2 linked regions of the Drosophila melanogaster genome follow. Changing the gene in region 1 together with any one later gene gives a genetic interaction. Each region holds a gene or a part of one and is shown in the gene's direction. Other genes may lie near its edges.

The links.
Region 2: of IA-2 (region 1) and Hex-C, changing one suppresses a phenotype caused by changing the other (phenotypic suppression), as found in Drosophila melanogaster (one study listed by BioGRID).

Annotation. Positions count from the first base shown.
Region 1 is NT_033779.5:1,038,300-1,045,665, reverse strand, and holds the start of IA-2 (IA-2 protein tyrosine phosphatase), read left to right. Parts: upstream 1-2,447; 5' UTR 2,448-2,677; coding exon 2,678-2,702; intron 2,703-6,980; exon of another isoform or gene 6,981-7,087; intron 7,088-7,132; exon of another isoform or gene 7,133-7,243; coding exon of another isoform or gene 7,244-7,366. Other genes in the region: gNacalpha (germinal nascent polypeptide-associated complex alpha subunit), read right to left, coding at 7,244-7,366.
Region 2 is NT_033778.4:15,217,010-15,223,656, reverse strand, and holds Hex-C (hexokinase C), read left to right. Parts: upstream 1-3,327; 5' UTR 3,328-3,392; coding exon 3,393-4,757; 3' UTR 4,758-4,820; downstream 4,821-6,647. Other genes in the region: CG8079 (uncharacterized protein), read right to left, coding at 109-273, 331-436, 498-615, 675-1,160, 1,232-1,613, 1,834-1,929, 2,092-2,228, 4,821-4,944 and 1 more; mRpL41 (mitochondrial ribosomal protein L41), read left to right, coding at 6,093-6,593; CG11808 (uncharacterized protein), read right to left, coding at 6,635-6,647.

The DNA of each region.
Region 1 (7,366 bases):
CATTGGGCATCGGGCATCGGGTATCGGACTTTATACGTAAGTGTCGCACAAAAGCCCGCTGTTTGATTAAGGGCTGCGTCAACATCCGGAAGCGGGGGCGTGGCAGCTCAGGGAGCCGTACTAAAAATGAAACGAAAATATTTTCGCGTAAACATAAACAAGTCGGCGTATGAAATGGGCATTCATAACGGCTCACATAAAAGCGCGTTTATCCGCCACCGAAACCAAAATACGGTGACCAGCCTGAAAGGACAACTTACGACGTACTTTAGTTTTAATACTAAACCAACAGAGATACAGATACGATTCCCCATTGGCCAGAAGTCGGAGCAGTTAAGCATGCGTGAATTTGACATTATATTTTGATGGCCCCTAAAAGAACGTCTAGCAATTGCACAAATATTTTCACGCTGGGCTCGCCGAGCAAATAAGCAAACAAGTTTCGCTTCTGTGGGCATAACAAAGATTGATGGAGGCTGAAAGTGAATTAAATTGGCTTTAACTTGGCCCAGAATATTAAATTCTCCCTTTACCTCTGGCAGGTCGCTCTGGGGGATGTATTTAAAATTAAAATTGACTCTGAACCTTTCACAAGATTGACAATCATGGGATTTCGTGAACTTCAACTTACTTTATACATACTGTACAGTATAGTGTCTTGAAACCATAACATAGCCTATCCAGGACTTGTCTCCTTTAATTTTTCCATAAAATTAACCCCATCGGTTTTGTAAGCTATGTATATAATTATATGAAATAATACGACAAAGAATATCAGCTTTTAATTGCAAACAAGCTCCATCTGCCCCTGGGGAGAACCATCAAAGGAATCGTAGATTAGCTCTACCTTTTTATATACATATAACTACATTACCGTAGCGCAGTTTAATTAGATGGCCGACCTTGCCCCATGTAATCATTCACGGCAACTCCGTGCAATCGCAGCCAGGTCCTTGTTAGCCCCACGATAACCTGACCTCAGGCACACTCTTCCATGGGATTATAAATGGCTGAAAAAGTGGCTAGATTAGAGTGGGCGTGGGTTCGAGTTGGTAACGGCTGTCAGGGCAATCGCTGAACGCAATTAATTTTAAACTGAGCAAATATTAATCATAATTCCATACGCCAACGGAGCAGAGCGCCCCAGTTAAGCAATATCCTTGCCGCACACACGCACACGTACGAATCCATGACATCAGGCTAAGGATACGAGATACAACATAGGACACAATGGCGTCATATGGACAAATGTCTGTATTACAGAACCTCGACTATGTCGTCTACGACAAGGCAATCCATTTACTTGATGAGATTGCAAGCAGTTTGGTGACATTGAAAGTGCGTTTATTAGGGTTGCCCTATCTCCCCGATTAAGCCCCCGCCCCTCCCCCATCCTCGCCGCACCCGACGAAGGGTGCAACGCCCCTCTTTTAGTTGCGGACGGGAGTTATAACAAATGCTTATGTGAGCCAAGTTCATTCATAAAAGGCGCTGCGTCAGGCAACAGCCGAAAAGGTCCGGAAAAACATGGGGCAGGAGCAGGAAAAACGAAAACAGTGAGGAAAATCAATGGTGGCAGTGGCAACACTGGCTCCACCCACACCCACTGCTAAAAATAGCCCAAGCAGATATATCAAGCCATAACATTTTCGACACAATTTCGCGAGGCAGCTGCGGCTGGTCGTGAGCTGAGCTCCAAAAACTGACTTGGCACTCTGCTTAGTAGGCGGAATGTATTGTAGAAAGGAGCCCACACACTGACAATGGAAAGCACTGGCAAACGAAAATGAAAGGAAATTTTGGCATTTGGAACAGTAGAAATTCGCTAGGATGAAAGATGCACTTAAGTGTCAAATTTCATCTCCACTTCAGACTCGGCGGCTTCCTTTCATTTTGATCATCTTTGAATGCATTTCGGAAATGTCTAGAAAGTTTTCTTTCTAGAAAACCCTTCATTCTAGTGAGGCTGTACTGTAATGTTTAGGCGGTTGGGAGAGCCTTTTCGAACTTTCGCGCTGTTGCTATTTTTGGCTGCCGAACTTGTAGGCCCCAAGAGGAGGCAGGAAGATTGGCAGGACGATGGAGCAGGCTGCTTCCCGAGTGGCCGACGCGAGCTCGCTCCCATCCCGAGTGCCTTGAAACGTAGGCGCCGCCTTCGGGGAAAGCTCGTCGCGGCTTGCGCGGAAAAGCTACTTGCGTGGGCGTCGCGCTTCCAGCGGAGCAACAGGGGATGCCGTGGGACAGCCATGAAAGCGGGAAATCGGAAGGGCGGAAAATCGGGAAAGCAGCAGCTGGCGAAGCAACAGCAAAAGCTCCATCGAGCTTTCGTCCGCTTCCCCAGGCAGCTGGAAGGCAGCTGGAAAGTGGCTTCGGCTGCAACAGTCGGCTCCGCTCGTGCGCTACCTGATGCTCAGTGCTCCACGGACGGCTGGATCTATCGACGCCGTTCAGTTCAACCTGGGGAGCGGAGCAACCAAGTGTTGAGCGGTTAAATAAGAAGGCGCCCGCCTACCACACGTAGGCGGCGGAGTCCCAACCAGTGTTCTGCGCCAGCTACTTCAGCGCCCGAGGACGAGTGCCAGTGCCAAGTGCCTAGTTCCCAGTGGCGGGGCCAGTGGCCCAAGTTCTGCTCATGGTGCGATAAGCGCGTAAGCCTAACATATGGCACCCAGCATCGATGCCAGCCGTCGGCACTTCTTGCGGTGAGTTTTTCGGGGGCTGGGATGGGCCTGGGCATGGGCATGGGCAGGAAATTGGGCCCTCTTTGAAGGCACCACAATTTACTCGCTAGCCAAATGCAGGTCTAGAAGTCCATTGCATAATATTCATACTGTTAATTGACAGAACTTCTTTAAAAAGTGTGCAAATTAAAATATTTCAATAATGAAAAATTTTGTGCAAAGTTAACAATTTGTGGAGATCCATTTAAAGTACTTAAGATACATGCTGCTATGAAAGTGAACTTTGCTAAACAGAAGATTCTGATTGTAGCATATAATAAGAAGTTGAAAAATTTTAATCGAATTAACCATTAAATACATTGCTGATGTTAAAATACTTAATCTCACATCTTTTTCACAATATATAAGGATAATGGAATTTCTTTGTGAATGTGATTAACTGTACTCCATGTTTGATTTTTCGCAACTGACAAAATGCAATATTTCAGTACGGCGGACTACAATCAAATTTACCTTTTATTTTGTTGAGCGAGTAAACATTACTTGAAATGGCACAGGGCGTGGGTTTTCATTTAAATGTATTTAAGTAAATCCGACAGGTAGCGAGCAAGAAAATAAATAATCCTGATCGGCGGGCAGAGGAATGCACTGAAAAGTGGGCAATCCGCTCGGGCGGAAACTCAATTCGAAAACTCAATGCAGCGTGATTTAATTCGTGGGAAGACAGGCATATTGGTTACATAAATTCAATTATAGAATGCAAATGAATGCTGCGGATTGCTCACTTGCTGTCACGATGAATGTCCCGAAATCGCGACAATTTCACAAATTATTGTGAATTATTGTTCGGCGAATGGGAATAATAATATAATTCTCGTATCAGGTGTCGGATAGCGTGATAAAAAGTCAATTAGGAAACATTACTTATCGCGAGTGGGAAAGCTGTTGCTATCAGTTTCCCATTAACGATAGTTTCCCGCTAAAATGACAGATAAGCAGGCAGCCAGGAAAAGTGTACCTCCTGAGCACGGAAACTGCAGCAGTATTATATTCGCTGAGCTTTCACTACGAGCTGCGCAATTTGTTTTCCCCGAAATTGATTTCCCAGCCCCCCGCCCTCCCGGAACACGCCCACATCATGCATGCATGTATGTGTGCACTCTAACAACATTATCAGTTCAGTTTGCTGGAAATTCTCCACCCGGGCCTGACTGGTGTTCATTATCCGTGGCCTTTGCTCTCCTTTTCACCAGCTGCATTTATGAAGCGCAATCTGAATAAAATATGGCACATAAAATCCGGCAAAAGGAAATGCTTATTAACTGCGAGCGTTTTCAGGGGAGAAAACGGGCGTCCGTCCTGCAACATAAGAAGCTTTCCATAACGAGTTTCAGAGGTCCAGGGTTCTAGGGATCGTGTAACTCAGTGTTGGTGGCGGACCCTGCCCTTTGCTCCTACAAATTCCTTGAATATTCCCTAGGCAGCTTATAATTGCTAACATGCTCAAAGGGCCAAGAGGTAAACTGCGAAATGCCAAAACTTTCTGGGTTGAAATGTAAAACAATTTGGAACGGGGAAAGGCAATTTTCCTACATGCAGAATAAAGCCCCGAAATATCTTATCTGATGCTCTGCCACCTGAAACAGAGCAAAACAACGGGTTGTAATGGTCGCAACAAATAGCAAATAACAAAAAGCACCTTAAATAATAAAGATGAATGTGAGATATATACGAAACAAACACAATTTCCATTTAAGTGAGATTAGTCCAGGGAATATGGAAGGATCTCTCTTGTGGATAGCAATTGAACAGTTGATACAGTCAGATACACTAGAACTGGAAATGAATTCCATTTCCTATCATTTAACTAATCTGATGTATAAACGTTTTGAGTTTTTGGCTCAGAGAGAAAAGGACGCTTTACTCCGAAATCCGTAACAATAATTTATTCGCTTTAGCTAACTAAGTCATAATTCATGGCACTTAGGAGAATAATTCCACGCTGATTCCCCTAACCCGACCAAATTGCTGAATTATCCGAACCTTCGCTCTCATAATTGTCCTGCCACTCCCAGCTGGTCCGCAATTTTCCACTTTCGGCCACTTTCAATTGCCGAATCCAGCTGGCAAGTTTATCTAATTGCTTTTCGGACGGAGAGGTCCTTTTTCGCCGAAGAGGCGCCGGAAATCCGTTTCACGCTGGGCTGGCCAAAAAAGGAATTATGGATTGTGTATTTGCAGACGGCGGATTGTGATTGTACACATTGTGCTCGCCCGGAAGCGGAGTCAGGATGAAAGCGATTTGTTATCCTTTAGCTGCTGCCGTGCATCAATTACACAAAGGCCGGGAAATGTGAGCCTGTCGAGCTTTAAATCACCTGCCAGGAAGTCGCTCCCACGCGTTGGCTTTGCGCCGCTGGCTTTCGGGGCCCAGGTGCTCGATATTCTCAATAATAGAACCCCAAGGAGCCCGAAGAGCGCTAAAGTGTGCTGGCAAGCACACACCTGGCAGCCACTCTGCCCATCCGAAAGCAAACAGTGGCGTCAAATCAAATGGCAAAAGCTTGCCAACACATCAAGCCAGATCGGGGGGCCTGGTCTGGGCGGGACTCAGAGCATTCCAGTGAAATGGAGATGAATATAGAGAAGCTGAGGAGTCATGATTAGCTCAGCAGTATATGCGGCTCGCCCAAAGTGATGAACTGCGCCAGAGGCGCCCAAGTAAGCCCGAGTCCCTTGGCAGGCCAACTTGGCCAGACGGATGCGGACAGGCGGAAGGACGACGGCGAAGACAAATCCTGCAGATTTTGGTCAAGAAATGCGCACCGAAATGTGAAACCCAAATCAAGTTGAAAGCGAATGAATAACCACGAAAAGGAAAACTTCTCAAGCGAACGGGCAGCAGGCCAAACGTTGGCCGCAAAACCAAAAGGGAAAGTTTATAAGCGGCAGGCAAAAGCCAGTGAAAAGCAAGAGCATTTCATGTCAAAGAAAATTCTTGTAAAACAGGAACACAAGGTGGCATTCAGATAAAGAATGCCTTGGAGCCTACACAAAAGAAACATGTTAAATTCTTAAGACCAAGTGGATACAATGGCTCAGAACCGGACGATTTAATTGGAACAATGACTGCCGTTATCCCAAGCAATATATGGCTACCTAATATTATAATATTAAACAATGTTTCGTTCCGTTTTACAAGTAGTTCATTTCGAGAAAGTGCTAGACCGAATGATGTCATTAGGCATTTAACAACTTTCGCTGTTGTTGCCGCTTTCTCCGGGATTTGGTCAGCAAGGAGTGGAAATTGCCGACGCGGAAAGTACTTCAAAGTACCATTTGGATTGGGCAGTAAATTGCGCAGTACGGCTGCCGACTGTCAACTGATTTGTATTTCGGCAGCATCTTCAATTCCGCTGATTAAAGGGAGCCAACTTAATCAATTTCCGGCGGAGAAAGTTCCACGGAAAGGGAATGGAGCCCCAAGAACTTTCCATTCGAAGCCGACACGCGCGGGCACTTTCTACTCGCACTATATGAGTGTACAGAACGAAGAAGGTGAATGCGTCCCACCTACAAAGTTTCCATTTCCACTTTTCCGGCGAAAAAGCGGGCACGTGCTCAGCCGCACGGACTGTTGAGCGCCCACAATGCAAAACTAAAGCCTTTTTTACGGCTGCTGACGACAGCTGAAAATTAAAAAAAGTTCAGTTAGAGCCGGAGCTAGTCATTAAGTGGCTTTTGGGGCCAGAAAAGGGACGTTGAACGTAGTCGAGCCATTTAATTGAGTCAAATGTCCGCGGAGCAGGACTTGCGTAGCCACGTCACCAGCAGCGACGTCACCTGTCTCACCTGGGAGTACCCCTGAAATCCCCTGAAAGAGCTGAAACGCAATCACGGCGTCGTCAAAAATTCGCCAGCAAAAAATGCAAAGTCGAGTGCCGGGGGACTTCGCCAAATGGCTAAAAACTAAGTGCAGAGTAAACAAGAGTGCAGCGTCAGCGGCACAAAGAAAGAAGCGATTAAGTTTCCGCCACAGAGAAAATGTCCAAGAATGACGGTACCTGAAAGGAAAATTGCCAAAGTCTAGCGCTGATGGAAGAGCAAATACGAGTATAATGAAAATGGTTCGGGTTCGCATATGCGTTCTTCGCCCTTCGGAAAATGCTTTCACTGTGCCAAGATGGAAATGGTGGAAATGTCAATTCATTAGAAAATTGAAATAAGATGGCAATTTCGCTGTACAAAGGGGTTCTTCAGTGGGATTCTTCTGCTGGGACCGAAAACATTTTCAAAAACCAGGAAATGATCGGCATTTAATATAGTACGAGCTACATTGGCACCGGAGATTGTCATTCTTGTAGAACAAGCCATCCACCAGGAGAAGTGAAGTCCGAAAGGATTGTCTGGATTACATGAAAGTATAGTAAATAAAAACAACATGAAAGTTTACGATTTGATTGTAATCATTTAATTACCATTAATTTCTATGGCGAACATGGATGTTATTGAAATTCTCTTTATTTCATGACTTTGAATACAAAGGAGCCACTCAGAGCGACTTAACCCACAGTCAGGGCCATGATGGCATTGACCACATCGTTGTCGTTCTTCAGCAGCGCCTGGATCGCCTTTTTGCGCGAGCACGCGGCCTGCATCTGTACCAGTTCGATGTCCTTCGCATG
Region 2 (6,647 bases), on another chromosome or scaffold:
TACATAGAATCTATGTGTATATACATACATATATATTTACATACACTTATAAATATGTTTGAGTAATTGTTAATTAAATGTGTTTCCAACATCATTCAAAATGTCTTTCTAATCACTATCATCCGATTGTCCAAACATATCACTGGCGCGCTGATATCGCGCCTGAGTGATCTTCAAGTTGGCCAGCTTCCGTTTGTCAATGGTTCTGGAGCTGGACAGCACTGGGTCACTGTTTCCCAGACCGCTAGTGCCCTCATTGGCTACCACATTGATCTGCGAACGGGTTGGTATTAGAAGTAGTGACTAGCTTTATAAGTCTAAAACACTTACCGGCTCCAAAAGTCCAGCACTGGCATTTGTTTTGCCCAGTTTTTCGCCCTTTTGCCAGCCCAATTTACTCAGCATTTTAAAACCCTTATTAGAGCTACCGATTTCACTAAAAACGAATAACACATTGGTCAACCAATTCAAGTTAAGATGTGTAAGCTGATACTCACGTGTTCACACAAGCCACCTCAGTCTTTTCTTTATCTGTACTGCTGCCCACCTGGACTCTCCTTGTTGCGGCACGATCATTGTAGTTGGACTGCCCATTGCCGCTAGTATCAACGAATTCTAAAAGTGAATTAAGGATTGTCAAAGTAAAGTGAGAGTATAAGTTGTCTTGTATTTACTTTCGTTTTCTAGTCCATATTTGCGCTGCAGTTTTTTTAACTGCTCCTTGTGAGATAATACGGATGCGGTGGATGAGGCAACAGCGGCCACTACCGGCGGAGAATTCTCTATCAAAAGGCCCGGCTCGCACAAACCGCAGGTACTGTTACCCTCGTGGACATGACACAGTAGTCTTGTTTGGCCCAGAGTGATAACACTGCCGTGAACGAGATCCATGGCGTCGCTGGACATTGGGGATCCATTGAGAATGGTACCGTTTCGGGAGCCCAGATCAAGACATTGGTAGATTCCCAACTTGTTCTCATACTTAAACTTTAAGTGGCACTTGCTGACGTTCACGTCCGGAATGATAACATCGTGAGCGCCCTCCCGTCCAAGAGATCCACCTTTGTATGTGATTAGATGCAGGCTTCCCACTTTCAGCGACTCTACGTTAGTCTCCTGGACAATGATGCGGAGGGAGGGTGGATACTTTTTAGCAATGTCTAAGCAAAGAAGAAAGCGTTAGTTAAACAAACAGGGAAGAGCGCGATAAAAACGCGGATAACTTAAACACCTTGAAAGCGTCCGGCAGCCTTGAAAACTGGAACACTGCTGTCTTCCGTGTTGCTGCTGCTATCCTCGTTGCTAGAGTCGGAACTGGAGTCGCTGCTTTGCGACAGCTCGCCCTCCTCGGCATCATTAGACCGCTCATCATCAGAATGCCTGTGACGCTTCTTGGACTTGTGACGGCGCTCCTTCTTGGATCTCTTCTTGCTGTGCTTTTTACTCTTCTTTTTCTTGGCTTTGCGCTTGGATTTTTCAGCTTGATCTTTGGCCTTTTGCTTCTCGGCCTTAATCTTCTTCAGCGTTTCGTGGTCCGTAATGACGCCTCCCAGCTCATCGAACTGCACCTCCAAATCCTCGTCCTCCGATTCCGGTTTGGCCGCATCGTTCGCCTGCAACCAAGTTAAGAAAAGAAATCCGCGTTTTTATCGCACATTCTGGACCTTGACTCTTACCTAATGCATTGCTACGCATTCGGTCTATGCGGAGTTTGTGAAACCCCGCTAAAAGACTACTATAGGCGCAGTCGCTCAAAGGCTGCGCAGCGAGGAGGAGAAGAACAGTGGTTAATGTGGTCGTATGGCATTGAAATCCGCAACTACACCCACTCACCTGTACCTGGGCCTGAGAGTGGAACTCGTACGAGTCTTTGGCGTGATCATAGCTGTAGTAGCAGCCGTTGTTACCATCGTAGTACAGCCCGTACTCCTGCGAGGAAGAGAAAAGCAGGTGTAGATTAACAACAATCCGAGCCATTGATGTAGGTTTGCCAGCGCGATAACCCCTGAAAGTCATCGCGGTGCAGTCACTGCATCGCGGAATAGAACGGGACGTCATAAAGATTGCGTCCGCTGTTTATAGCTTATTTACCGCGTTATAGTAGTATCCCGTCTTGGGATCGTAGTACATGCCAGAGGTGTGCTCGTAAACGAAGTTGTTCAGGTTTTCGGCGTGCTTGGCTGCCTGCCTCATTTCGTCCACAAAACTGAAGGCGTCCGTCGCCGATACTGCAAATATAAATTATTTTCCAAACATGACTTGTAATGTTTTGATGGTTATTGATAAGGTTTTATAAATATTTAAGACAATATAGAAATAAAAACAGAAACCTGTGGTGAACGACACGAAAATGAGCAATGTTATCAGCAGTTTTGAAAAACATTTCCTTATTTCAACTTTAAAAATAGTCGGAAATGGGTTGTAGTTATCTTTACATTCATAAATTAATGTTTATAGTTATATGTATTTAGACGAACTATAAAGTAGCTATTTAAGTGTTAGTATAAGAATTCTAATTATTTTTCTAATCCCCTGAGTTTTGCGTAATCATATTAATTCTATTAAGAGTAGTGTCAAGGGCTGCTCGGATTTTTGTCAGGGGCAGTGGCGTTAGCCCATGCGACACTTCAGTGCTTATCTCGGGCATTACCGGCATGGAATGTTTGACGTACTCGACCTAGGACCCCGCCAATACTCCTCAATAGATAGACAAGTGGGTGGGTTGCGCTTGTAAGATGCGGTCCTTGAAACGGCCTTATCTCATCGTAACTAAGAAGGCGTGTTGCAGCTAATATCGCCCTGTGACAATTTATGGCTTTTAGAAAGTAAAAAAGTGAAATACGGCCTTGGCCATTTTTTCCGGAAATATGGCACTCTACGAAAAGTTATACAACAATTTAGTACAACGGAGGACACCTTATTTGTAGATACTGAAACACTTTTTAATAGTAATCTCTTAATGGATTCTTGTGCCATGCGATCGGTGTCCATCCGGGATTTATTCGCAGAGTTAATTGTGACATATTTCCTCCTTTCCAATAGTCGGCTAAAGACGATCTACAATTAATTTGTAGGGTGCCGAATCTGAAGCTATTGCCACCAATTGACAAGCGGCAAACGAGACAACGAGCGATTAGCATGTCGCGCAGTTGTAGTTTCAGATTCGGAATCCGCAAATCAGCTACTTAGGTGTGTTTTCGTTTTTAATTTGCTACGCAGCGCCCATATTGCAGCGGCAGCAGTTGTTTCCAAGGCGCACTGCATCTCAACGCCTGGCTCTTATCAGGCACCCAGGGCAACTCCAAATCGCCGTGGGCTCGCCAGGCGCCTGGTTAGTCGTTACTCATCGTTCGAGGCGGTTACAACTAAGACAGATAGATTAGCCAAGCAAAATGCTGGACGCGGAGGTGCGAGAACTTATGCAACCCTTTGTGTTGAGTGATTACCAGGTGCAGGAAGTGTACAGTCGCTTTTGCCTGGAAGTGGCCCGTGGACTTAAGCGGTCCACGCATCCACAGGCCAACGTCAAGTGTTTTCCCACGTACGTGCAGGATCTGCCCACGGGCGACGAGATGGGCAAGTACCTGGCCCTGGATCTCGGCGGTACCAACTTCCGAGTACTGCTCGTCTCGCTGAAAGGTCACCACGACGCCACGGTGGATTCTCAGATCTATGCCGTGCCAAAGGACCTGATGGTGGGGCCCGGTGTGGACCTATTCGATCACATTGCGGGCTGCCTGGCCAAATTTGTGGAGAAACACGACATGAAGACCGCATATCTGCCACTGGGCTTCACTTTTTCCTTCCCTTGCGTGCAACTAGGCCTTAAGGAGGGCATCCTGGTACGCTGGACTAAGGGATTCGATTGTGCTGGGGTTGAGGGCGAGGATGTGGGCCGCATGCTGCACGAGGCCATTCAGCGGCGCGGAGATGCCGACATTGCCGTGGTGGCTATACTCAACGATACCACTGGCACCTTGATGTCCTGCGCCCATCGTAATGCAGATTGCCGGGTGGGTGTCATTGTGGGAACTGGCTGCAATGCCTGCTACGTTGAAGATGTTGAGAATGTGGACCTATTGCGCGCAGACTTTAAAAAAACGAAGCGGAGTGTGATTGTAAATGCTGAGTGGGGCGCCTTTGGTGAGGGTGGTCAGTTGGACTTTGTGCGCACCGAATACGATCGCGAAGTTGACGAAAAGTCTCTAAACCGATCGGAGCAGCTGTTCGAAAAGATGACGGCGGGCATGTACTTGGGCAACCTGGTGCGCCTTGTGCTACTTCGTGCCCTCGAGCGCAAGCTGATCTTTAAACAGAGCAGTCGACGTCCAGAATTCGCCAGCGTGCTGCAGAGAAACGAAGAGGTTTTCGAGACGCGCTACATTTCGGAAATCGAGGACGACTCCTTCCCAGAGTTTGCCAGCACAAGGAAGATTGTGAAAAATCTGTTTGGTCTAGAGAAGGCCTCCGTGGAGGACTGCCAGACTCTGAGATACATCTGCGAGTGCGTAGCTAAGCGAGCGGCTACATTAGTAGCCATCGGAGTCAGTGGGCTGGTGAACAGGACTTCCAACCGCCGCGTGATAGTCGGCATGGATGGCTCCGTCTACCGATACCATCCAAAGTTCGATGCCTACATGAGGCAAACACTCCAAAAGCTGGTGAAAGCAGACAAGGAGTGGGACATCATGCTCTCGGAGGACGGATCCGGACGTGGAGCTGCGCTGGTGGCCGCGGTGGCCAGTAAAACAAAGTAGGAACTCACTACTATTGTAGCAATAATAGAAGGACTCAGTGTAATAAAACAAATTTTAACTCACAATCGTTGGGCTGGTCTTTTTTGTTAGTATCCTCATCGTTTTCCATGGAATACTGGCATTCTTGTAATTCCGATTCAGTTGCTTGGCTGGCTTTGTCACACGAAACCTTTTCTTCCCGGCTTACCTTTAAAATAGATCAAAAATTAAGACCATTTTAGCTCAACCTTTAATTGGGACTCACGTAGTGTAGGAGTTTTTGTTTATAGGACGCCAGTTTGGTGTCGTATTTGCGGATAATCCCGTGCAGCTTTTCGACGTACTGCAGTAGTTGTTGCTGCTCGCAGGTTTCCAGGTCCTGTATGCTCTTCAATTCGATGGAATCGTACTTGGCGACAGTGTCCGCCAAATCCTCCTCTTCAGCCGGTAACGACATTGTTTAACAACCGTCGAATCTAAATCAACTTTTTATAGGGATCACAAGCCGATTTGGGGAGTTTCAGCTAGAGATGGAGAAACATCGATGCTAGCATGGATGTCATCAATGTTTTCAAAAAATCGCATTCATCGATGTTTTCGAGGAATCATCGATGTTTTTCCATCTCTACATCGCATCTGAGGAGAAAAGCGTATAAATTGTAAGTACAAATTAATTTTCCATATCTTCTAATACAATTATTAATACCATATTGTGGCGTCGTGATAGACATGGAAAATATCTGAGAAGAAAGTTTTTAACACCCGAAAAAGGCTTGCACATATGAATGCATGTCATATGCACGTCTAAATGTATATACATGTATGTATGTAAACGTGCATTTGTCTTATAGGAGCAATTACTGGACCAGCGGAGGATGAAAAGGTGGACACCAAATACTGACGTTTTATTTAAGCAACATTAAAATAAAAAGCAATTATTTTTATTTAAAGCATCGATGTTTAAAACGTCGATGTTATTCGCCAAAAACATCGACATCCGCCAACATCTAGTTTCATTTCAACTAACAGTCGTTTTAAGCACTGGTGGCTGCAAAGTTAATCGATTTATTAAGAGATGGTTGCTTTTACACATAAAAAAAATATGCCTAGTTTTTGAAAAAAAAAACAACTTAGTTCTTATCAAGATAAAATAAATATGGCAACGGCCTAAAAGAAAAAAAACTTTTTCGGTATTTTTAAAAAAACAAGTAGTTTAATAGCAAATTGGCTTCCAATACATTTCCAACTGGGATTAATTGTCTATCGAAAAAAGTGTCATCTCTACCCAACCAAACAGCTGTTCCCTCATCTACATTTGTTATTTAACCATTTTGGTCGCCGAAAAACGAAATAAGAATGAATAATTGTATTAAAGTAGTGCCCATTGCCCTAAGGTGCCAGCAGAGGACCATCAGTACTTCATCCGTGCTGGAGGGCAAGCGGAACTTCCGTAAATTTAACGCATACAACAAGCGCGGTACGCGCGTGGTAAAGGAAGCCCAGAAAACACTGGCCAATCCGCCGGTAGCCATTCACAAGCGAGGTGTACGAGACACGGGCATACTTGTCGACGGGCAGTATGTGGAGATTCCCGAGAAAATTCCGGACATCATAGTTCCCGATTTGACCGGTTGTAAGCTAAAGCCATACGTGTCCTATAAGGCGCCGGACGTCGTCCAGTCGGAGTTCACCAGCTTGGATCTCTTCAACGCCGTCTACTCGCAGAAGATTATCGAAGATTTCAAGGCGGGAAAACTGCAGAAGGACGGCAGCGCCAAGGAGCCCTCGGTCAATGAGCAACTGACTCCGGAGGAGGCCTTGCAACGCGCTCGAAAGACGGGCAGCGATATATTCTAGACATAGGTTTATTGTTTCTTAAATACAGAGTCTAAACTCGACTACTCCTGCATG